Rhinolophus ferrumequinum: one gene and its partners. The main gene of each other region encodes a partner of the protein of the gene in region 2 in a complex. Links are inferred from orthologs where the notes say so. Each region holds a gene or a part of one and is shown on either strand. Other genes may lie near its edges. The genes, in order: VAMP2, CPLX1 and SYT1.

Region 1 (7,408 bases), on a different chromosome or scaffold from region 2:
GAAAACTGGGGATCAGGAATGTGGGGAGAAACTCTAAGTGGCAGAATTATTGGTCCATCATAACACACTGAACTCCAAGACACTTATACACCAGCTGGAGGGAGGGAGAGGAGGGGACAAGAGGCTTGGAAAATGGGGGTAGGGGAGGCAAACTAGACTAGCGGGGCTAGGAGGGGATGATTCTGGGGGCCAGAGCAGCCTGGTTCCCCAAAAGCCCAGGCTCCCCACCACCTACAAGTAATGTCATGCAAATGAAAGTGTGACCAATGGGGACTAACTCCTCAGTAAAAAAAAAACAAAACAAAACAAAACAAAAAACAGACGGGTTGAAAAAACAAAGAGTGATGGAACAAAAAAGAAGGAAACCAAAAGGGATGTCAGTGTGCAAATGAATGCTAGTTAACATGCTGGAAACTCCCAGACCTTGGGATTCATAGGACCAAGTGGGGCCAGTCTCAGAGCCTCCCAAATGATGCACAGACGATGCACCTAGGGAGGCCTGGACAATTGCTTTTTGTCTTGTTTGTAGGGGGGGTGCGGGTATGGGGAAGGCCAGGGTGGAAGGAAGGGTCAGCTAAGTCCAAGGAAAGAAGGGAGGAAGAGGGACTATTGCATAGCAGATGCAAATGAAGGGACTTGGGGCTGGTAAGGAAAAGAGGGAACGGGAAGGAGGGAAAGAGGAAGGACGGGAACCTCAGGAAGGGGTGTTAAGGACAACCGGAAAAATCTTCTAGTAATAAAACTACAAACAGACCAAATATATATAATATTATATATGTATAAATAACAGCTGGCTATTTACAGGGGGGCACACACACAGACACACACGGATGGGGGGCTGGAAGATATGGCTGAGAGGTGGAGGAGCAGCTGGGAATGGGGGGGAGAGGCCCTTCTCTGGGCAGGGCAGGCTCCTCGGGGGTTTAAGAGCTGAAGTAAACTGTAGAGCGGGAAAGAAGGATGAAGGGGGAGAGGGGAGAAAGAGAGAGAAAGCAGTGTGTCAGGCCTGGCCCTGCTCCCATCCTCCCCACTCCCCAGCTGACTGACATCCCTTCCCCTCTGGGCCTTGGGTTCTCCCCTGTAAAGCAAAGGGGTTGGACAGGAGGTTCCAAGGTCTCTTCAACCCCATGGTATGGCCTTAGGGCCACAGACCCCAAATCCTCTGGGCCTCTGAGACCACAAGCTCTTAAATAATTCGGTGGTTGGCTTCCTAGTCATATATCAAGCCTATGGGCCTTTCCTGTTCTCCCACTCCCCAATTTCAGGGTTCTCAGGCCCAAAGAGTCCTCAAGGGAGTAGTGGGGATCCACTAGCTCTCGTTTCCAAAAATCGAAACAGAATTGCCCAGAACCAGGCAAAATGCAGGCTGAACAAAATCAAGGTGTGGAGCTCTAGATGAATCAGAACTGCCACTGGCAGCTATATATGCTTTTTGATGAATAGTAAAAACTAGGTTAATGACCTTCAGAACCCCGAACTCATAGGGAAACCTCTCCAAAGAAAGGGCCCCAGCCATTCCTGCCCTACTCACCGATGATGATGATGAGGATGATGGCGCAAATCACTCCCAAGATGATCATCATCTGTGGGTGACAGGAGAGGGGTCAGGGGACCGACCACAAACTCCCCATTCACCCACCAGTCCTCCTATCTGCCCTCCCACGTGCCTCCACCATTACCTTGAGGTTTTTCCACCAGTATTTGCGCTTGAGCTTGGCTGCACTTGTTTCAAACTGGGAGGCCCCCGCCTGGAGTGCATCTGCACGGTCGTCCAGTTCTGACAGTTTCTGGTCCCGCTCCAGGACCTTGTCCACGTTCACCCTCATGATGTCCACCACCTGGAGGAGGGGTCCACGAGGCAGGGGGTATGCCAAGGCCCGCCTCAATGAGGGCACTCCTCGACCACCATGCCCACATATGGAACATGCACCCCGATGTCGCCAGGCTAACATGCCAAGGACACACACAGAACAAGCCTAGCACACCTGGGGACATGCAAGAAGTACACATCAGGGGCATGCTGATAGCCAGACATCTCAGATGTCATAGCAGCACCCTCTATTTATCCAGTTTCAAGTAGCCTGCCCGTCACCAGAGCACACCTGCCCAGGCTGAAACACCCTAGGACTAGCAAGCTAACACTCCAAGGCCCTTACAAGTGCATGCTTACAGGGATGGGGCATGGTATGTCTTTGTCCCAAACCTCATAAACGTGAACTACCATCACCCCCAGCCCAAGATGGACCCCCCAACACTGGTTTGCCAACCCTCAGTGCCCTTCCCACCGTCTTTGGATCCCCCCAGCCCACTCCACTCACCTCATCCACCTGGGCCTGGGTCTGCTGCAGTCTTCTATTACTGGTGAGGTTTGGAGGGGGCCCAGGAGGGCCTCCCTCCCCAGCCGGGGCGGCAGGGGGGGCGGTGGCAGCGGTAGCCGACCTGAGGGGCAGGGACGGATTCAGACCCAGGGCCTGGAGCCTTCGGCCCCGCAGCCAGGACTCCGCCCATCCGCCTGTCCATCCAACCGTCCCTCCCTTCCTCCTTTTCGAGAGGGAAGCCAGCCGATGGGAGCCCTGGATTCCGTCTGGCCCCGCCGCCGAAGAGCTGCATGACCTTGAGTGGGGCCCCTTCCCCCCTCCAGGCCTCAGTTTCCCCGCCTGTCAAATGAGGGCGACCTCACAGACTTGGTCCAGGGTCGACCCGAAATGACCGGCGGCAGCGATGACAGGGGCGGGGCGGGCGGACGCCGGGTCCACTTCCTCCGGCGGCCACCGCCCGCGCGGCCAGCCCGGGTGGCGGGGCTCTCCCGCTGCCCGCGCGCAGTCACGGGCGCCGGCCTGGCCTCGGGGAGCGAGGGACGCGGGCCGAACCCCGGGCCCCGGCCCCAGGGCGGCAGCCGGGCGCAGGCCAGCCCGAGGCGGGCAAGGGCGACCGACTCACATGGCGGGGGCAGCGGGTGCAGGACTTGGCAGCTGCAAGAATGGCGGCTCGCGCTGGCTCCGACTGGCGCTGGCTACCGGGGACGGGAAGATGGCGGCTGCACGTCACCCACATCCGGGCACTGCGGGCGGGGGCGGGGGCGGGGCGCAGTGGCGACTGGTACGAGCCGGGCCGTGGGGGCGGGGCGCGGCAGGCCGCGGGGCGTGCCCGCTGAGCCTCTGCACCTTCCGCAGCCTGACTCCTGCGGCTTCCGTGCGCCCGCTGCTTTCCCACCCTGCTAGACCAGAGCCCGCACAGCCATCCCCACGCCTCTGCCACTCGCACCCCACGGCACCTCTCACCCCCAAACCACGTCCTCCCTCCTATAGTGAAACTTCATTCAGTCTGCACTCTACACAGCTCAAGGTTTCACCCTTCACCCAACTCCCAACGCCTGGTAACCCGCCTTCAGCCCTTGGCGTGGGCTGGAGGTGGAAAATCAGAAAAGGCAGGTGTCGATCCCGAAACAATGCGAATAGCTGGGACCCTGCTGCCGAGGTGGAGTGGAGTGACGGCAGTTGGGAACCAATCCATCACCCCGCAGGTGGATGTCTCGAAGGAGGTCTGAGACCCCCCCCCCCCCCCGGCCGCTGAATAGGGGGGTATAAAGGAAAGGAGATGAGGCAGGCTCTTCCCCCACACCCCAGCCAAATCACTGCGGGTGTGAAAGGTGCTCCACTTCACAACTGGAGTTCAGACCAGGGCTACTTGGCAAGCCAGGCCCGACTGAGGTAGGGCAAGCTTAGGGCCCCAGGGAGGAGGACTCTGAGGCTGCTTCCTGGGGCTACTTCACACGATGGCTGCAAACTGGCCAAAACCTAGCTCTGGCCCATTGTTAGCCCGGCCTCAGGAGGAGGGCTCAGCCTTTTTTCCCCAGGCGCAGGGCCTAGGCCCAAAGGGACAGTTTTTTATTTGTTTGTTTTGTTTTGGGTTTTTTTTTTTTTTTTTTTTTTTAAGTTGGAAAGAACAGTAGGCAAGGGGGGGTGCATGCAGTATCCAGGTTACATGGTACTACTTTACATGCTGATTGGCTTCATAGGTGTGACCTTGGACAGTTCCTGTCCTGTCTCTGGACCCAAAATACATTAGCTGTACGGGCTCTAAATATACATTTCTTATATGGATTGATCTGGAACATGGTGGAGGAGTTTAGCCACGGCCCCTTTCATCCCTCACTGATCTTGCTTTAGGCCTCCTAAACAGACCCAGCATCTGGACATGCCCACCGGGCTCATTCCCAGCAGCTCTGACACTGCAGCGAGGAGAAGACAGGACCAGGTAAGCTGCCTAACCGGTGGCGTGGGTGAAGTCAAGTCTCAAAGAATGAAGGAGACATCTTAGGAGCACTAGTGGGGGGGCTCACTGTATCCTTGAAGGGGAGGAGGGGAGGCTGGTGTTGACTTCTGAGACAAACAGGAGCCAGCTTCCCAGGGGTGAGAACTTCCCCCTTGCAGCGCCCCACTCCCTCCCAACAGAAGCCTGGGGACTGCTTGTGTCACCAGAGGTGTCATTTCCCAGCTGTCTGGGGGAGGTGAGTGAGCAGGGAGCATGTGTGCTGGGTCTAAGATAAGATGCTGTCAGCTCCCTCCTTCTCTTAGGAGCGGCCACTTCACTGGTCCTTGTGCACTCACTAATACAGAATGTCTGGTGGCTCAGCCTATGTGAAAAGGAGGAACAGAGTGGCTTCCATGAGGGCCTCAGATCACAGCGTGGGGCACTGGCTCTGGCTTTCAGGCCCTGAAACTACGCTACTCTCTAGCCAGAGAACAAAAATACCAAATTCTAGCTTTTAAGTTCAAAAGCCGCAGTATCAGTGTCTGGGACAGGGAAGATTAGACAGAGGTACAAACAGGCAGAGCCTCCCTACTCTGACCAAAGACCCTGCACTAGCTGTGGAGAAGCTAGTGGAGGACAAGACGTTAGACACTGCTTTAGGAGTGATCCCCATTTCCCCAGATGGCCAAATCCAGGACATGGAAGGGACAGAATCCGGAGTAAAGTTGGGTAGCCAAGGCCATGGGGTGTGGCTTGGAAAGCTGGCACATTGCTATCACTCCAGGAGGCTGGGGGCAGCCGCAGCAAAGTGTGATCCACGGAGGCAGGGACCATGAGGATTTATCTCAGAGAGAGGACTCTGAGCAGTTCATCCTGGCCCCCACAAACATGTGCTTTGGGGTGAAGGAACTCCCCAAATTTAGATCAATGGTGGAGGCAGGAGAAGGGGGAGGGGTGGGATGACTGAGCTCACTTGGAAATAAATAAGAGAATGTTTTCTGCAAGCAGGTAGAATGGAGAGCCAAATAGGGGTAACTCGAACTAAAGAAAAATAAGGTAATATATTTGCATAAATGAGATCTGGCTTCTACATTTACCTGCTTCAGGGGTTTGTTAGCTGAATCTCTGGCCCCCACTCCCAAGGCTTAAAGGATGTGGGAGGGGGCCTAAGTACACATCTAACAAGTGAGTAACAAGTACTTACTCTGGTGATTCTGATGTAGGTGGCACAGAGAAAATCTTTTATAAAGGTTTTTTTTTTTTTCCCCTCTTCTAACACAACTGACTGAAAAGTTGGGATAGAAGGGGCCTAGGTCGTTTCCACACTTTGACTCATGGGAACTTGCTCCATGCACATGAGTTAAGCATGACCAAACTGGTAATTATAATTTCAGAGACCTTGTGTGTCCCTTAATGCAACTTGTAAATCAAAGCCTTCTAATTAGAAACAGAAGAGGCGTGCCCTCGAGAATGCGGCCTGGAATGGGGACCGAGGGGCTGGCCTCACTGCCATGACAGTCACCTGCTCAAACCCTGTAACCTCTGGCGGAGCCCTCTAGTCAGGAAGGCTCTGGGGCTGCAGAAAGCCCTGGGCTCATCATGGAGGGAAGAGAAACTGCCAGAGACCTACTGTGTGCGAGAGGCTTCACAGGGATTGCCACATATGCTCAGTTTTTACCTTAAATAATATGACTACATTCTCCTTGCAAAATATTAAAACATTACACATAAAGCTGAGGTTCCCTTGGTGACCCCCCCAACTCACTTATCTTTTTGTTTTACTTTCTGGACAGTTTCATATATCCTCCTTTTTGGAAAAAAAAAAAGTTTTGTTATATTTATTTTATTTTTTTCATTTCAAAAAAATGCAGTATCTTCTGTCATCTCTCTGAGGATATTTTTTAAATCCAGTATTAAATTTTAAACTAGGTAATAGGTAACACGATCAAAATTCAGAAGGTACAAAGGAATGTACAGTGAACCCTGGTTCTGAGCTGCTCAGGACCCATACCTGACACATTTGCTATCTCCAGTCTTGTAAATACCGTGTTTCCCCCAAAATAAGACTTGGTCTTATATTAACTTGTGCCCCAAAAGACGCATTAGGGCTTATGTTCAGGGGATGTCATCCTGAAAAATCTGCTAGGGTTTATTTTTCAGATGGGTCTTATTTTCGGGAAACACCATACTTGTAGATTCTTTTTTCCTTTTTAAAAATACAAATGCTAACAGACTATATGTATTGAGTTGTCCCTTCTGTTTGTTTTACTTTCCAATGATTGGTTTTGTTTGTTTGTTTTAACTTTTGCTCCCTAGTATTTGTTTCTTCCAGATTTCTTTGATTGGCTCTTTTTTGTTGTTTTCTTTTTTGTGATGCTGTATATGGGAGTGTCTCTCTTTCATTTTAGAGACTTTCCTCAAATGCTGGCTGATACTTTGTTCATATTTAATAGGGAGCCACCAAAAGGATGATTGAAAGCTGTGGGGGGCAGAAGGAGCATTCATTGGCTATCATATCAGCTTTGCTTTTCAGGGGGACTCTCTCAAGTGTTGATTCGGTGGCAGGCTTTCTCTGGGGCCATTCAGATTTTTGAGAACAATATCCTCCATTCTCCATCCCCTGCCCTTGATGGGGGAGTGGATCTGAAACAGGGTGGGGGCTCCTGTTTCTAGCCTCCGTTCTCACCTCTGCTGGGCCTAGTGTCCCCAAATTCAAAGCGTCCTTGGAAATGAGCATGTGGAGGGAAGGGTGGTATGTGTGACTCGGGTGTAAAAGGTGAGGGAGCCGCAGGGGCCTTAACACTGAACACAGACTCTCAGCCACCCCTGCATTCAGCCAGGTTGGACCCAGGGTCTGGAGACCCACAGGGTTTCGGGCACCATGTCCTCCTGATTCCTTCTGCCCTACTTGGTTTGTCACCATACTTTGGCTGCTGCCCAGCCTCCAAAGCCTTGTTGAAACCTTTGGTCTGCAGCTGTCTTCTCTCTTGGTCTCTTGGTACTTATTGATTTATACTTGACTCTTCTCCTGTTACTTAGTTAACATTTGGAAAGAAGAGAAGACAAATGCTCATGGCCAATCTTCCATGTTTAAAAAGAAGTCTTACCACAGTTTATTTACCTAGTCTCTCAAGGACCAGCATTTTAGGCTGTT
Region 2 (7,232 bases):
CCGTTTCTGTCTTTTTCTCGGTCTGTTTCTGGGCTGTGTCTTCTCTCTCCAACTCCATACTCAGACCCCGTTTCTCTGGCTTCACCCATCTCTAGACACTTTGCTCTGTCTCTGTCCCTCTGTCTGTCTCCCTGTCACTCATGCGCGTCCTGAGAGCCCACAGAGAGGAAGCACAAAGACAGAAGGAAGGCCTCTCCCGGAGGTCTGACGCAGCCCCCAACCCCAGGCCAGTGAATGGGGGAGCAACACCCAGCCTGGGGCACCCCACGGGTCTCCCCCTCGCTCCCACACCCTCAGGAAGCCCGCTGCATCGTCCCTGCCACAGGAGAAACTTGGGCTGACATGGAACAAAGGGAGCGCAGACTGGCAATTACCCAGCTAATTTCAGCTGTGTAGACAGCCAAATCAGATATTGCAGTTTCCCTGCAAGCCCACCTCAGGGCCTGAATTAGCTGCCTAATTAATTATCTGCACCAGCCTGGGGCTGGCTGGGTGGAGCATGGATCCCTCCGCCAGGACGCTGCCGGCCCCTGAATCCCATCCCGGTGACGTAATCATTATAATCAGACTCAACCTACAGCCTATCCTTGACCAGGAAACCTCAGGGAATGTGGCCCCCGGGCCAGGCCCAAATGTCTTTTCTTTTCATTTGTGTTGAGCAGAAATGCAGCCATTCTCTAGGACACAAGCCCACAAGTGGGGCACAACGCCCCCCACCTATGGCCAAAGCTCCCGGTTCCTCCTGACCTCGCACCCACCAAGACGGTGTCCTTGTCACGTAGCACCTGACTGAGGCCTGGCTGTGAGTGGCACCACATCAGGGTGTGGCCACAGAGGCCGTCCAAGGAAGCCATCACTCACGGCGATGTGGGGCGCTGCCCGCAGGCTCCCGTCACAGGAGCTCGGGCTGGGACGCACGGCCTGGGGTGACGCATCTGTGCCAGTGTGGCCCACTGCCAGCCAGTGGGGGGAGCCACGCCCAGCCTGGGACACTGCCCAATGGCCTACTGCCCACCCTCCCCCACCCCCCACACCCCCGGGCTCAGCCCACCGTCCTACACCACCTGCCTCTCCTGGGCTGGGGGTCTGGCCACAATGACGGTCTTCAGCCAGGTAGGCACAGGACTCCCTTCTAACAGGAGTCAGCTGGGATGAAAGAGGGTCCCTCCTCTCTGCGGAGGGGCTGCGTCTCGTGTCCCTGTGCCCAGCCAGCCCCGGCCTCCTGCGTACCCTGCTGCTGCGGCCACCCCCTGACTCTGCCCACCCTGGGGTGCCACCGGTCCCACGTTAGTGCCCCTGAAACCCACCCTGGGCTGTCTGGCCGAGGCTGAGTGGGGCCCTGCTGCCTTGCCCTGACCACAGCATTCCAGCGCACATTCCGCCAATCCCAACCCTGCCCCACTCTGCCCAGATATGTGCAGCCAGCTGAGGGTGACCCATGTGCCTGCCTGGCGACCAGCTCGGTGCAGCGGCCCCCCTCCTACCTCCCAGGGCCTGTTTCATCACGAACTCCATGACGATGGCTTTGATTCCTCAGCAGCTCCTCTGAGGGTCCGAGCTCACATGCAAGTGCGGCTGAGTCCTCTGCCTAGGGGAGAGGAGGTGGTCACGGGCCGCCCCGACTGGCTGCACTTCCTGCCCCCCTTCCCCGAGCATGGGCCTGCAGTCTGAGAGCGCGTCATTTGCTGGACCCTGGCACTGGGAAGGGGCACCTAATAGGGTCCCTGTGGGGGGAGCTTTCACCCCACTCCCTGAATAGGGCAGGCAGATCCCAGGACTACAGCTGGATCTGCAAAGGGGTCTCACCTGGCCCCTGGGGCTTCTGAAGCCAGCTTTCAGCTGCTATTGCAGGGTGGGGGGTGCTCACCACTTGGCAGAGCCAGCTTGTGAGAAGCAGGGGCAGGCCCCAGGGGCGTTTGAAGGTGACTGGCTCTGCTGCCTCCCTGGGGGGCCCTGGGCCATGGAGGGTGGGGTCAATCTGAGAAACAGGGTTAGGGTAGTGGGCCCTGAGTGGGTGCCCCTTCAGGGAGGTCCCTGTGGCTGCTGCTGGAAGTGTTGGGAGACTAGGCTTTACCCAGGGAGAATCAGTACCCACTGCCACCTGCCCACCACAGAGATGGGTGTGGGAGAACCAGCAGGGGGCTCAGCCTTGTGGGAACAAATGGAAATGGGGGGTAGACCACCCCTCCACCTGCATCTCCAGGAGTGGGACCTCCTGGGTCCAGGCCAGCTGGAACTCTGGTGGGGAGATGCTTCCTGTAAAACCTGCAATTCCCCCCCACCCCCGTGATGTCTCTCCTGGCAGGGAAACCCAGGTCCCTGCAGATCCACTGTTTTGTGGTTTTTCCTCTCCTTCCTCCGAAGGAGACCAGCGTGTGTGCGGGTTGGGGAGGGGTGGCAGCGGGAGTGGCCCCCTCCCGCAAAGCGCTGGTGCGCAGGGGTGCCTTTGCCGCAAAGCGGATTCTCTTCCAAACTTCTCCCCTGGCCCCTGGGGGAGAGGGAACCGCAGGGCCCAGCCGCAGAGAGGCCGGGGTGCTGCTAGAGCTCCCCCAGGGGCGGCAGGCTGGGGGTCCCGCCTTGCCGCACTCCGGCTTTGCGGGCGGGCGAGTTGCCCGGCTTTGCCGAGCGGCCCTCAGGCGGGAGCGCGCCAGGAAAGAGAAAGAAAGAGACAGAGGACGAGGGAGGGCAAGGGGAGACACGAGAGGCAGGAGACTCGGAGAGCGAGCAAGGAAGAGGGAGGGCACGGGCCGGGACCGCGCGGGCCGTTTCAGCACCGCGCCAGCGGACAGCGCCCGCCGGGGCCGAGTGCGCGCCCAGCCCGGCCGCGGAGGTAGCAGGCAGGGAGGAGCGGCGGGGCCGGGGAGCGGGGTGTGCGCGGGGCTCCGGTTACCTTCCCGGAGCCGGGATGAGGGCGAGCGGACGGGCGGTCAGCGGCGGAGCGTGCTGGGGCCGGCCGGGTCCATGTGGCGCCCTGGAACTGCGGCGGCGGCTGAAGGGCACGGCGAGGAGGGCGCGTCACACGGAAGCGCTCCCCGCCTCCCGCCTGCGTCCAGGCGTGACGAGGAGGGCGGGGCCGAGGCGGCTCGGCGGGCGCCTGCGGGGGGCGGGGGCGGGAGCGCCGGAGCCGCACCCCCGTCTCCCCTCCTGAACCCTGCCCCGGGACGCATTCCGGGGTCCCGGGGCGCGAGTCCTCCGAGCCAGTGCGCGTGACCGTGACCCGCTCAGCAGTTCAGAATCCCAGATACCGTGGCCCCGGAACCGAGATCCTCGGTGTGGACCTGGGTGGGGGCCGCCCTCTCTCCCAGACGGGGTCCTGCACCCCTCTCCTGACGGGAGGAAACCTCGTGAGCGCGTGCGGGACCGACACGCCCGACCCCCCTGGAAGAAATCCTTTACTCGTCGGGCCGGCGCGGGGAGGGCCTGGGGCTGCGGGGAGCTCCGCCTGGGCTCGCACGTGGAAGGGTTCCCCGACCCGGCAGAGCAACCCGGAGCCCACGGCCTGGACCCCGCCGCTCTCCCGTCTCCGCGCATCTCTGGGCGGGAGAAGGAAGCCCCCTACTCCTAAAAACCCACCCGCCCCCTGGCGGAGAGAGACCAGCAGACCGGCCCAGACCTATTTTTCAGTGTAACCGTCGCAGAGAGACTGACCCCGCCCCGCGGACAGTCCGCGGCCCACGGCGGGTAGGGGGCGTGAAGGTCACTCCGAACAGGCCGCTCCGCCCCCGCTGTCCTCGCAGCCCCGCCCCCGCCGCGCCTCCCCCACCCCGGAGCCTCCGGGACTGCCTCTGCGGCGGAAGCTGCACTGCGGGGACAGCCGGGTCGCTGCAAGGTCGGCGGCTAGACCTCCTGTCTGCCGCCCCTCCCGGGGGTTGGCCGACGCGGCTTTGCGGCCCCTGATCGCGGCTTCGTTGAGTCCAGGAGTCTCAGAGCCACCAGGGCCGGCTGCCTGGTCGGTGGGTGGACACCCCTGGTGACCACTGCATTACCTTGTCACCGCCCCCGCAGAGCTGAGTCACTGGCTCCCTGGGCCTGGGGTGGGAGCGGTGGCTCCTGGATCTGCCCCTGCCCCTCCCCTGTCCCGGGAGACCCTCCTCCTGCTCCTCTGCCCACCTCTGCTCTTACCGGCCTGGTTCCCCAGTAGGCTCGCATCTGCTCCCAGGTCCCACCCTTGCTGACCCTCTCCAGACCTACCTGTAACCAGTGGCCTGGCAGGGGCCCTCAGCAGCCAAGGAATGAGGGATGGAGAGGAGCGCAGGGGGCTGCTATGGCCCCTGGGAGTGGTGGCCCTGGGGAGGCCCACGTTCCAGGACACAGCTGTGGGCTCCAGGGATCCCAGGGCGGTGGAAAGTGGCCTCAGCACTATCCATTCCTCCTGCTGACATGTCCTGTCGTCTAGATCTGGGCCAGGAGGTGCAAGGTGGGAGTGCTGCTCAGAAGGGTGGGCCTGGGGACAGGACAGACAACTCACGCCAGGAGTGCAGGGAGCCCTGGTGCTGATCCACCCTGGCTGACCCCTGAGAATGTGAGAAGCACGTTTCTGTTTCATTCTTCACGAGAGGTGGGTCAAAGCCTCAGGCCTTGTGCAGGTCTGGGGACAGGTGCTCTGTGGAGTGGTCACCCATTTCCAGATGTCTGAGGATCTTGAGAGTCTGGCCTGAGCCCCACTCAGGGTGTGGTCAGTCCGGCCCTTCTGGTGTCCTCAGAACCCGGTAGTGGGTAGACAGGGGAGAGAGGTAGGTCCAAGAAAGTGAGAAGTCACTTCTCACTGGAGCGTCTTCCCTTCACACCCACCCCAGGTGACCTGGGAGTGACCCACAGGTAACATGCTGACGGCAGCCCCACAGAGGACCCCAGAGCAGGCTCCATGACCAACGATCCTACTTCCCCTCGAGAGTCACCTGCACGGGGACACCCCACTGACCTTAGGGCGGCCAGGCTGGGCAGGTATGTCCCGCACAGTGTCAGGGGAGAGCAGGCCCCACTGAGTCCAGAGCCTCGGGCCTGGCTGAGCTGCACATGCACCCAAGCCAGGCGCTGTGTGGCAAGGGATAGGCTTGGGCACGGATGACAGAGGCCCTCTGCCACTGGACCCTCCACGTTTCTTAGTCTCCCTCTCCCTGTAGGGTCACCATCTCTCTGTCTCTGTTGTTGCTCCTCTTACACTCACCACACACAGTGGGCCCTCAGTTCTCACTTTTGCTCAGGCCCTGAGACCCTCCCACCCAGGGGGAAATAGACAAGGTTGGTGACAACCTTGGGTCAGAGTGACTGGTGCTCTGGGAGAGGGAGGCCAGGCAGCTATGGAGCGTGAGCAGGACTGGTGGGCCGTGCCAGCTCTGGGCAGGAAATGAGTACATAGAATGCCCAGGAGCAGCTCTGCCCTCGTGTCTTGCTCCCACGGGGCCACGGGTCCACACCCGGTGGAACTCGTGGCCCTGTGTGTGTCCTGGAGAACAGTCTCCAGACCTGCAGCGAGCAGTAAAGACCCATGGGAACTAGTGGGAAACTTGTTAACAGCTGAGAAAGGCTGAGCCAAGGGCTGAGAAAGGCTGAGCCAAGGGAGGCGCGTTCAGCAGGCAGAAGACCCAGGAGGTGGCTGGGGAAGCACCTGGTTGTGGCTACTGTTCAAGGCGGTTCTGGGCGCAGAGGAGGTGAAAAGAGTCAGATGGGGAAGGAAATGGCCAGGGAGCTGGAGTGAGGGGGGAGGGTGTCTCACCAAGACGTCAGCATCTGGGGCCTCGGCCAACCCTGGCCAGCTCAGCGTCCTGCACGCTCTTCAAAGCACTGCCCTCCAGAAATCCGCCTGGCACCCTGACCCGAAGCAGGGTTGTGCCAAAAGAAGCATGGTGCTGGGTTTGAGGCCCCTGCAGTCCAGTCGCCACAGCAGATGGCAGAGAGAGGTGGCAGCCGCTCTGCTCCAGCTCCTACCCTGCCTTTCTGGAAGCGGCTCCTGGGCCTCCTTCTGCTCCCGCCAGGGAGGCCTGGCTGACGCCTGCTGTCCATCTGTCTCCTGTGCCCCCGGGCACCCCCCTGGGAGTGCTTTCAGGGAACTGTTCTCCAATCCTGGCGTGGGGGCTGAGAGGCGGCACAGGCTCCTTGGGTCAGGCTCACCCAGAAACTTCAAATGCAAACTTAGTAACTTGACAAACTGAGTAATTCTGTCCCAGCACTGCCACGGGTTTCCTGCTGGATTTTATTATTAAAAAGGTAACAACGTGGGCCGGCTCGGTGGCTCAGTGGTTGGAGCACCAAGCTCCTAGTGCTGAAGTCGCCAGTTCAATTCCCACATGGGCCAGTGAGCTGCGCCCTCTACAGCTAAGATTGTGAACAACAGCTCTCCCTGGACCTGGACTGCTGTGACCAGCCAGAGGTTGGCATGTGCTGCTGTGGGCTACTGTGTGCTGCTATGAGTGGCCAGTGGCCAGTGTGAGTGGCCAGCAGCCGTGAGCTGCTGTGAGTGGCCGACCAACGACTGGTGACCGACTGCCTCAGCCGGGGAAGCGCAAGGCTCATAACACCAGCGTGGGCCAGGGAGCTGTGTCCTACACAACTAGACTGAGAAACAGAGGCTTGAACCGGAGTGGGGGGCGGGCAGAAGAAAGGGGGGGGGAAAAGGTAACAATGTGTGAAAAGAAAAGCAGCTGAGCCAGGGCAGTGCCTGGTCTCCTGACGCCGGGCTCGCCCCCTGCCCAGACCCCAGTGGTCCTGGGGATGTTCAGCTCCCCCTCAGACCTTGCCTGGTCTGGGGATGCTGAGATGTCCGGTGCCTGGTCAGGCTCACGTGCAGAAGTGCACTGTCTGCCCCACTGTCCCTTTCCATCGAGGCCCCCAGGCTGCTTCTCAAGATGCAGACACGAGGGGCCTTGGTCCCCTCTTCCCGAGGAGCCGGTCCAGGATCTGGGCTCAGAGCACACGATGCCTCCGACCCCTCTGCCCACCCTGCTCCTCTCCCCACTTGTGCCCCTGCTCTGCCCCAGAACCCAGACCCCACGGGGAGACCCACACCCCTCCCTGCTCCTGGCACATACCTCCACTCCCTGGCTCTTGGCTGGGCCAGCCCCCACCCGCTGTCTCTTGTCATTGCCCAAACAGTCCTGTTACACACAGCACAGGGGCCACCCAGCGGGCACAGCGTCAGACCAGAGGTGCCACTTTCCGAGGTACTCACAAAGGGGCCTGAGGAGGGCTGGGGCGGCCGTGAGGCCCTGTCTGTGCTCCAAGGGGAAGAGAGC
Region 3 (7,695 bases), on a different chromosome or scaffold from region 2:
TTTTTGTATTTCTTAATTAGAACTATCTGATAATTTGACCAGAGAAATAACTAATACTCTCCATTATGAAATGGAGTTTTAAAACTACTCTGCAACAACTCTCCATTATGTAGTATTTCATGGAATTAGTATGTTAGGACTTGTCCTGTATTTTAGCAACCTTTACTTCTGATAAAAAATATGTTAAGTCTAATTGCCATATTTGTCCTGTAACATTAATAAGATTTACAAAGCTATGCTTTTAAATGGATAAAACATGAAGATTGTATGAAATTGTTTATACCAGAACATTCTATGTGATGACAGTAATAAGTCTCTCCTCAAGCCACTCACTATTGGGACTATTGGAATTAGTTCTGACTTCTAGTATATATACAGACTTAATTTTTCAGAAGTAGGTGAAAAACTAAATACATACATATCTTTTACATGTCATTGCTGTATTAACATTTGTAAAGAGTCATGAAAATAAATGTCACAAACCAAGAAGCCTAAACTTTTACGTTCCTAAGACAGTGGAGAAATACGCAAACAAAATCTTATTTTGTTCACATGGAACACACTTGATTTCCTTTTTGTACATCTTTTCATGTCTAAACTTGTTAATTCAGTTGTATACACATGAGGCAATTAAGCAATTGTCCTTTTGTCCTTGGAATGAAAAGGTGGCACCTCTAAAAATTAGAGTTAGCTGTCAACAGAGATACTACATTAAAAGGAAAAAAGAAAGAACATTAAATGTCAAAGCTCTAGAAAGATCTTGCTTTTTGTGACTCTCGGTAATTCTACTTAGAAAGAAATAAGTGCATCAAATGGAAAATGGTTGAGAAAATAATATTCATTACATTGATGGTAAATGAAACTAGCTCTTCTCTAAGTTGGTGTATAAAACTGATGTGCTAGGATTATGGTGAAAAAATACTTTCTGGCGTGCATAGATTAGTTGAGGAAGACTAGGAAGAGTTGAGAAAGAAGATTCCCTTTTCTTATCCCAAGTGGACAGGTTAGAAAAAAATGTAAGAGTTTGGCATTTCCCCTGGTAAATCAAGGAAAGAATTTATCTGGACATACTAGCATCTTCCAGCTTCCCTACACTCATGTAGGACCCACTTGGAATTGCTTCCCCATTAGATTCAACTAGGCACTTCTCTCTACTTCCTCCCATCTGACAGTAATCACTTAGATACCTCTGATGCATAATAGGAAAGGAAAGCTTATATCATTGATGATGGAATTGGAAATTGCTTGCAGCTGCCGTCAAGCCTCTGTCCCACAAGTATTTGTACTTGACCTATTATACAGTCAGTCAGGGTACATAGTTGTTTTGCTATCTTTCTCTTTCTTGAGAACAAAAACATTTCCCCTTTAAGATTTTTAAAATTTGAGGTTATCTTCCTACCATGACTTTCTAAAACTTTGTTCCAGTACAAGAGAATTATTGGCTAACTGAGCTTCCATATGCCTTCTAAATAAAGCATGTAAACATGATGTTTATACAGTTTCAATCTATTAAATATTCTTATTAACAGAAAATAAGGCAAGACGTGAATTTGATATCCAGGGCAATAAAATGGCAAATAGATAGTAGATAGATAGAATGAAATGACAATGTGTACACAAAAGTAGCTTTAGCACAAAAGTTAAATGGTTGCTGTATTTCACCAAGGGGTTAATATTACAGAAAGTGAAAATCAACATGTCCACAAAGCTAACTAAATTAGCTTTCTTAAAGTAGAAATCCAAGCCTCCTCATAATCCTGGTGTCACTTACAAATGTTTGAAACTTTACATTTCACTTTTTTTTTGCCCCCCCAACACAAGGCCATACCAGAGAACCTCAGGAAAGTAATAATCTGTTTTTAATTTTTTTCTTTACTCGAGAAACACCTCAAAGTTCAGATATTACCAATGAAGGTCAATACCAAATAGTCAGCCCCACAGGACAGATGGACACAGGGAAAGTCAGATGGTTGACACTTAAAAACAACAGCAGTTAAGCAGTTGAATGTGGGTTGGATCAGTGGTTTATTTTTGTTCCATTGGAACGAATCGAGCGAGAGACATAGCCTCTTGCAAGGAGATGAAGTCAAACTTGATGCTTCCCCTCTCTGACAGCCCAGGCTGGATGGCTTATCTACTTGCTTCTTTGGGTTCAACTGCTTTCTGTACTCTAATTTTCACAGCGGTTGTATTCTATCTTGTTTTTCTTCTCCCCCGGGCAAAAAGAATTCTTTCTTCCTTCACCACCCCTTTCTTTCCTCTGAGGAAAGGCAATCCTCTCCAGGAGGAGCAAGAAACCCTGTGCGTGCTTAGGATGGGAGAAGGGTGGAGATGAAAGAGATTGAGGAAGGTGTGGAGGGAGGTGAGAGATTGAGACTGGAGTGGGGGATAAAGGAGGGAGAACGAGGGAAAGAAAGACGGAGCAAGAAGATGGGGGATGCCCACCATCAACTCCAGGCTCTAAATCACCGGCACTGTGCAAAGTGCTTTTCCAGGAGATGCACATGTGGTCTCATTATATTTCTCACAATAGGCCACCCGGGGCTCCCTCCCCAGGTCTCAGTCTCCCACCACCAAAACCCATGTGTACCGAGAACACAATCTTGCAGACAGATTCAAACAAATAGGCACCACCTAGGTGGCCCCGCCGCCAGTCCCGCGGTCTTACCTGGAGGGAAGACTAGGAGGAGGTGCTGGTCTCTGTCCCCACTGCTTTCCCCGGCGGACCCGTGCAAGGCACACACGTCTGCTCGCTGCCTGTGTTCTTGGAGGGGCAGCCTGTAACACAAAAGGGGTGTGTGGGTGTGGGTGTGTGGGAGGTTTTCCAGGGCCACCAGCTGGTCCCAGCTGGCCGCCCCCACCCTACACACACCCCTTCGGGGCGCTGAGCCCCCCTCTCCGCTGAGGACCACCCTGGGGGGTTTGCCCGGTGCAGCCTCAAGTTGCTGTCTCTGCTAAGTAGTGCTGCTGCCGCCGCTGCAGGAGGAAGTGGAAAGACACTGGGGGCAGCACTCGGTCTAGAGCATCCCCACACTGCAGCTTCTCCAGGAATCCCCTCCAGTGAGGAGGCGGCCGCCCATCATCTCCCAGCCCCGGCCACCTGATTGGTTCCACCTCCGGTACGCTCTGCCGAGGAGCCAATCCAGGCGCACTAATAATAGGTGGATCCGCTCAGCCAAGATCGCCCTTCCCAGTTCTGGTAGTGTCTCTCCATCCCCACAGCGGACAGGGACCTGAAGAGGGGGTTGGGGGAGGGCTAACGGGAGGGGAGTGAACAGGAGGGGGACAGAGCCCAAGGAGGACGCAATCAGGGCATCCGATATACCCTTTGGGGTAGGAGCAGGGATGCCCCGAAACCTGTTCGGGAAGCCCTATGCACGGGAGGAGACAGCATAATACAAAGCTTTTTTCTTCTTTTTTTTAACTTTCAATCAAAACTGCCCTGATACTGAGCATGCCCAGACTGCAAACAGTGCCCTAGGAGTTCCGATGTGTGTGGGTTCGCAAGCTGTGGGGTTTTGAAAAGGTGGGAAAGGGGAAGGAGAGGCAGAAGTTTTGTCTTGGGTCCTTTGACCCGACAGAGTTGTGAAAGCAGAGCAGGACTGGGGGTATGAAAGGATTCCGCACGAGTGCCCACAAACGGAGCCACCGGGAGGGGGCCCTCGGGGCTACTGGAGGTTCATGATATTATTTGGTCGGGGTTCGGGGGTGTGGAAGGCCGGAGGAGAATAACCTGAGCGTTGCTTGATGCCCGGAGACTGATCGCGAAGGGTACTGTGGGACCAGAGACGCTGAGGAAGCTCGTGCTCACAGTTGGGGCCGGCGAGCGCGACTCCACCCAGCAGGCCGAAGCTGCGAGGCCGGGGAGCGTACACTGGAGTTTCCACTGCAGTGACCAATAAGTTTGGAGACTTGGGTCAAGTACGACGTTGTTGGGGACTGTTTCTGCCAGCCTCCTCCCACATCTCTCTCCACCCTTTGCCAGCACAGTGACGACTAAAGCGTGGGTTCCCTCCCTCCTTCCTCTCTTTACCCTAACTGGTTCTGCTCGGAAAGTAAGAAGCTTTTCTCTTCTGAGAGCTGTGCTGACCTGATTGGTCTCTAAGCTCTAAGGCAGTTTATAGCTTGGTAATACGGACAGATACCAAACTGGGAGGTTCAGCGAGTGGGGGAAGGGACAAAGAGCAAGGCGAGGGGCGGGAACAGACCCAAGCTCCAGGTAGGAGCAAGTCCATTCTCTGCTCCACAGGTGAGAAGGCTTTTAAAAACGCAAAGAAATATTTCCCTTTCCCTCTCACTGACCTTATCTGATGGTCTTTGAACCTCTGATTTGTTTTGCTTAGAAAAATCCTAGCAGTTTGTGTACAGTTGATCAATAGCTACAACTGAGAACCTCCCTAATTGGGTTCTTTTATTTTACTGAGAAGATTATCATGGCATCTCAGGTAAGGAAATAAATAGCTATCTCAATTCCCCAAATCCTCCACTATGAACTGGGAGTTTCATTAACACTGGTTTGCAAAGGTAACTGTAGCAAGAATTCAATTAACAGTAACACATTTCTTCAAGTTTTAATTAAACCTCTCCTATTTATGTAATGTTTAAGATTAAATCCTTATTCTCAGTACAGAGAAAAAGATGACAACCTTGATATAAACGAATTCCTTTATGACAAATAATTGTGTATTTGAAAAAAATAGTAACTTTATGTAAATATGGATCTTCCATTTTCTTATCTTATTTTAGACTAGTTTCATAGTTGGAGAAAGGAGATAATAGACATTAGTTTAAAATCAATTTCAAGTACTTGATGAAGAAAAAGGAGGAAGGGAGGAAAAGGAGAAAAAGAAGAATCAACTACCTCTGTAATATTGTTTTCTAGTAAATGTCTTTGTATGAGAGGATTAGTATAATGTCCACCTAATAGACATCTTTAGTCTAAATATACTTCTAGCACACTCCCTAGATTCCAATAATTAAAAACTGCATCTTTTAATAGCTGCACCCAGTAGCTACATGTAGAAACAAATAAACTTATTTTAGAAAACATGAGTAAGTAGAATATGAATCCAGATTAGTTATCTCTGTTTCCACACTCTTATCTTATCATCAGTATTTTAGCCAATTTCCCTGCCTTCTATCTTCACCGCCTACCCGACAATCACTCTCCCTCAGTGGTCAGGATCCTAGACAGTGGGATTGTGTTAGATGCTTGTATTCCAAAGTTCCTTGAGGGAGACTGCTGGATAACAAGAATGGGGTTTACATGTATCTTGCAATTAATTTTAGAATAACATTTTTGTTCATGAATTGTTAAAACTTTACTTACACAGTGGATGTAGATACACTTTAGTTTTTGCAAGACTAAGATTTTTATTCTCTCTCCTGTGTGCTCCCCGAGTTCAAGGAATGGGCTGGATAGCCCCACGTGATACTGCTGGGTTGACATATGGTACTTTTCTGTTGCAGAAAGTATATATCGTCTTTTTCCCTTTATAACAGACTCCATCTTAATTAAAAGACAGATCAGGTCAATTGTCTTTTTTCTCTTTATCCCATTTCTCAGGTACTTTTTAATCTAGAATCTCTGTGTCCTATGCTATGGAGATTTAACTGATTCCCTGGTTGTGTATTTTTTTAAAAATTATTTGTGATTTCTAGAACTGATTTAATCTATTTTGTTTAATGTTTTGTTTCCTCATTTTTTTGCCTAAAATCCCCACTTTTGTTAGCTTTCCTTCACAGTTTTGCTTTGATTGAGATCCCATTGTCATCATTTTCTTTATTCCTTTTCAATGGATTCATCTATTTACAACTTTAATGTTCCCTTTGCCATCTATTTTAGGCTACAGGATCAGAATAGAAACTAAATTGGATTGGGGCACTGAGGAGAAAAGTGTGTCTTATGGCAAGAGTGGGAATTAGAGACTCTAGAAACAAGAAATTCATTAAGTGCAAACTTAGGCAATGTTTTCTGTAGACTACAGAAAGAACACATGAGAGGTACCAAGAAAATACTCCATGTTGGTGGAAAAGCTTGTATATCCTAGGCAATCAATCAGTGGTACTAAAGAGTTCCATTTAATCAAGACTCTCATGTATCATTAAACTTTATATCTTTAATAACCACCCTAGTTTTCTGGTGAAATCTATTCTGTAAGTGTCATTGCCTAGGGTTGTGAAAGAAATAACAAACTTTTCTAAATTTTACCTATTGTTTATATAGATTTATATCTTATTATTCTTTTTATTTTACATCTGTACATTTTCTGGCATTGCCTTTCAAGATCCAGGCTTTTTTGTTTTATTCTTTCCAGGACAGACAGAGGATTGATTAAACGCTTGTTTTCTGGGGCAAGAATTTGGATAGAACTCCAGCTTCAAGACTAATTGTTTATGTGATCTTGAAAAATGTATAAGACCCCCTCCAAGCCTGTTTCCTCTTCTATAATAAGCACAAAATAACAAGTACAATATATTCTGAGGTTTTTTGGTAAAGATTAAGTAAAGCTGTGCATAAGTGCTAGTTCCAAGCACAAAGCAAGGACTTAATGATATTAACCATTATTATTATTTTATCATTATCATTGCTGCTGCTACTGCTGCTTCTCTTTTTCATATTCCTAGGAGATTGGATTTCCTCCTATCATCTAATCCATCTAAGCCTATAGTGAGGTATAGTCACAATATCCTCTTCACCTATGATCACTGAGGTAGAAGAGAGTTAATCCATGTTTATAAGAACTTGTCTGTACATAAAATGTCAACAGTCACCTATTTTGCATGTCTTGGTCTTAGACTATAATCTTCTAGGACATGAATAATTTGATTTTTAGAGAATTTGTATTTAAATACTGTTGTTTATTGAAAGTTTCTATTACTTTTTAAAATTAAGAAAATTCTAATTCTAGAGGTAAAAAAGTCATGAACACCTATGTTTTTTGTTTTCTAGCAAAAAAAAGATGGAGCCATCCATTTTGGTTTCCCTTCCATTTCTTTCTCTCGGGATCATTTGGCCTGGCAGTACTGCTAATCATTTTATAGCCAACTCGTAAGGAAAACACATCAGGGCTCTCTGTAATCAGAATTAGATAAAAAGAAATTAACCACATGGATTTTTCAATTGAACACCCACGGTGTAAAAATAAAGGAATCTAGAATTGAGAGAGAGAAAAAAGAAAATGAATACAGATGGGAGTCAAGTCTCTAGGGCAGAGAGTAAGAACCCCATAATTGAACTACAATGCTTTACAATTTCCCAAGAAAAGAAAATAAGAGCTAGCAGTATTCAATGTGGCTTACAAAAGCCTTTTCTTAAAGTTATGGCTAAGAAAATATTGGAAATGAAAAGGAGGACAGTGACTCAAAAAGTAATATACTGTGTCAGGCAGTTGAGGTTAGCAAGGAAAATATTATTTAGGTGAATCTATCTCAAGGGCAAAATAAAAGTAGTTTGAGCTAATGTTAGCCAAAGGTCTTAGAAAGAAAACAAATGATATATCTTTCAAATACTCTATCATACAAGGAATATACTGTGGTGAAAACAAGTTTGCTAATAAAGCAAGAACAACATTAAATTTTATATTAATTCCTTTTAAAATCAGAGGGAAGATTTCTATTTAACTGAACATGTAGAGAATTATAGTTCAACTGCTTCATTCAATTTATGTGGGGGAAAAAAGTGGGTCCAGATTG

The links.
Region 1: the proteins of CPLX1 (region 2) and VAMP2 are in contact, whole or in part, in a crystal structure (PDB 1KIL), measured with the Rattus norvegicus proteins. The link is inferred for Rhinolophus ferrumequinum from reciprocal best matches to the Homo sapiens genes CPLX1 and VAMP2. Residues at the interface, in NP_074055.1 of Rattus norvegicus: Leu41, Arg48, Tyr52, Glu56, Arg59, Glu60, Met62, Arg63, Ile66, Arg67, Tyr70, Gly71, Ile72; in NP_036795.1 of Rattus norvegicus: Arg47, Val50, Asp51, Leu54, Asp57, Gln58, Ser61, Asp64, Asp65, Asp68, Ala69, Gln76.
Region 3: the proteins of CPLX1 (region 2) and SYT1 are in contact, whole or in part, in a crystal structure (PDB 5W5C), measured with the Rattus norvegicus proteins. The link is inferred for Rhinolophus ferrumequinum from reciprocal best matches to the Homo sapiens genes CPLX1 and SYT1. Residues at the interface, in NP_074055.1 of Rattus norvegicus: Val61, Met62, Gly65, Asp68, Lys69, Tyr70, Lys74; in NP_001028852.2 of Rattus norvegicus: Glu271, Thr383, Gly384, Glu386, Thr406, Leu407, Gln408, Glu412, Met416.

What each region holds. Positions count from the first base shown.
Region 1 is NC_046304.1:10,826,984-10,834,391, reverse strand, and holds the start of VAMP2 (vesicle-associated membrane protein 2), read right to left. Parts: upstream 3,095-7,408; 5' UTR 2,943-3,094; coding exon 2,941-2,942; intron 2,440-2,940; coding exon 2,319-2,439; intron 1,839-2,318; coding exon 1,680-1,838; intron 1,584-1,679; coding exon 1,532-1,583; intron 941-1,531; coding exon 924-940; 3' UTR 1-923. UniProt on the Homo sapiens protein: Involved in the targeting and/or fusion of transport vesicles to their target membrane. Major SNARE protein of synaptic vesicles which mediates fusion of synaptic vesicles to release neurotransmitters.
Region 2 is NC_046288.1:87,805,694-87,812,925, reverse strand, and holds the start of CPLX1 (complexin-1), read right to left. Parts: upstream 3,051-7,232; 5' UTR 2,891-3,050; intron 1,589-2,890; 5' UTR 1,516-1,588; coding exon 1,485-1,515; intron 1-1,484. UniProt on the Homo sapiens protein: Positively regulates a late step in exocytosis of various cytoplasmic vesicles, such as synaptic vesicles and other secretory vesicles.
Region 3 is NC_046293.1:72,725,950-72,733,644, reverse strand, and holds the start of SYT1 (synaptotagmin-1), read right to left. Parts: upstream 3,060-7,695; 5' UTR 2,669-3,059; intron 1-2,668. UniProt on the Homo sapiens protein: Calcium sensor that participates in triggering neurotransmitter release at the synapse. May have a regulatory role in the membrane interactions during trafficking of synaptic vesicles at the active zone of the synapse.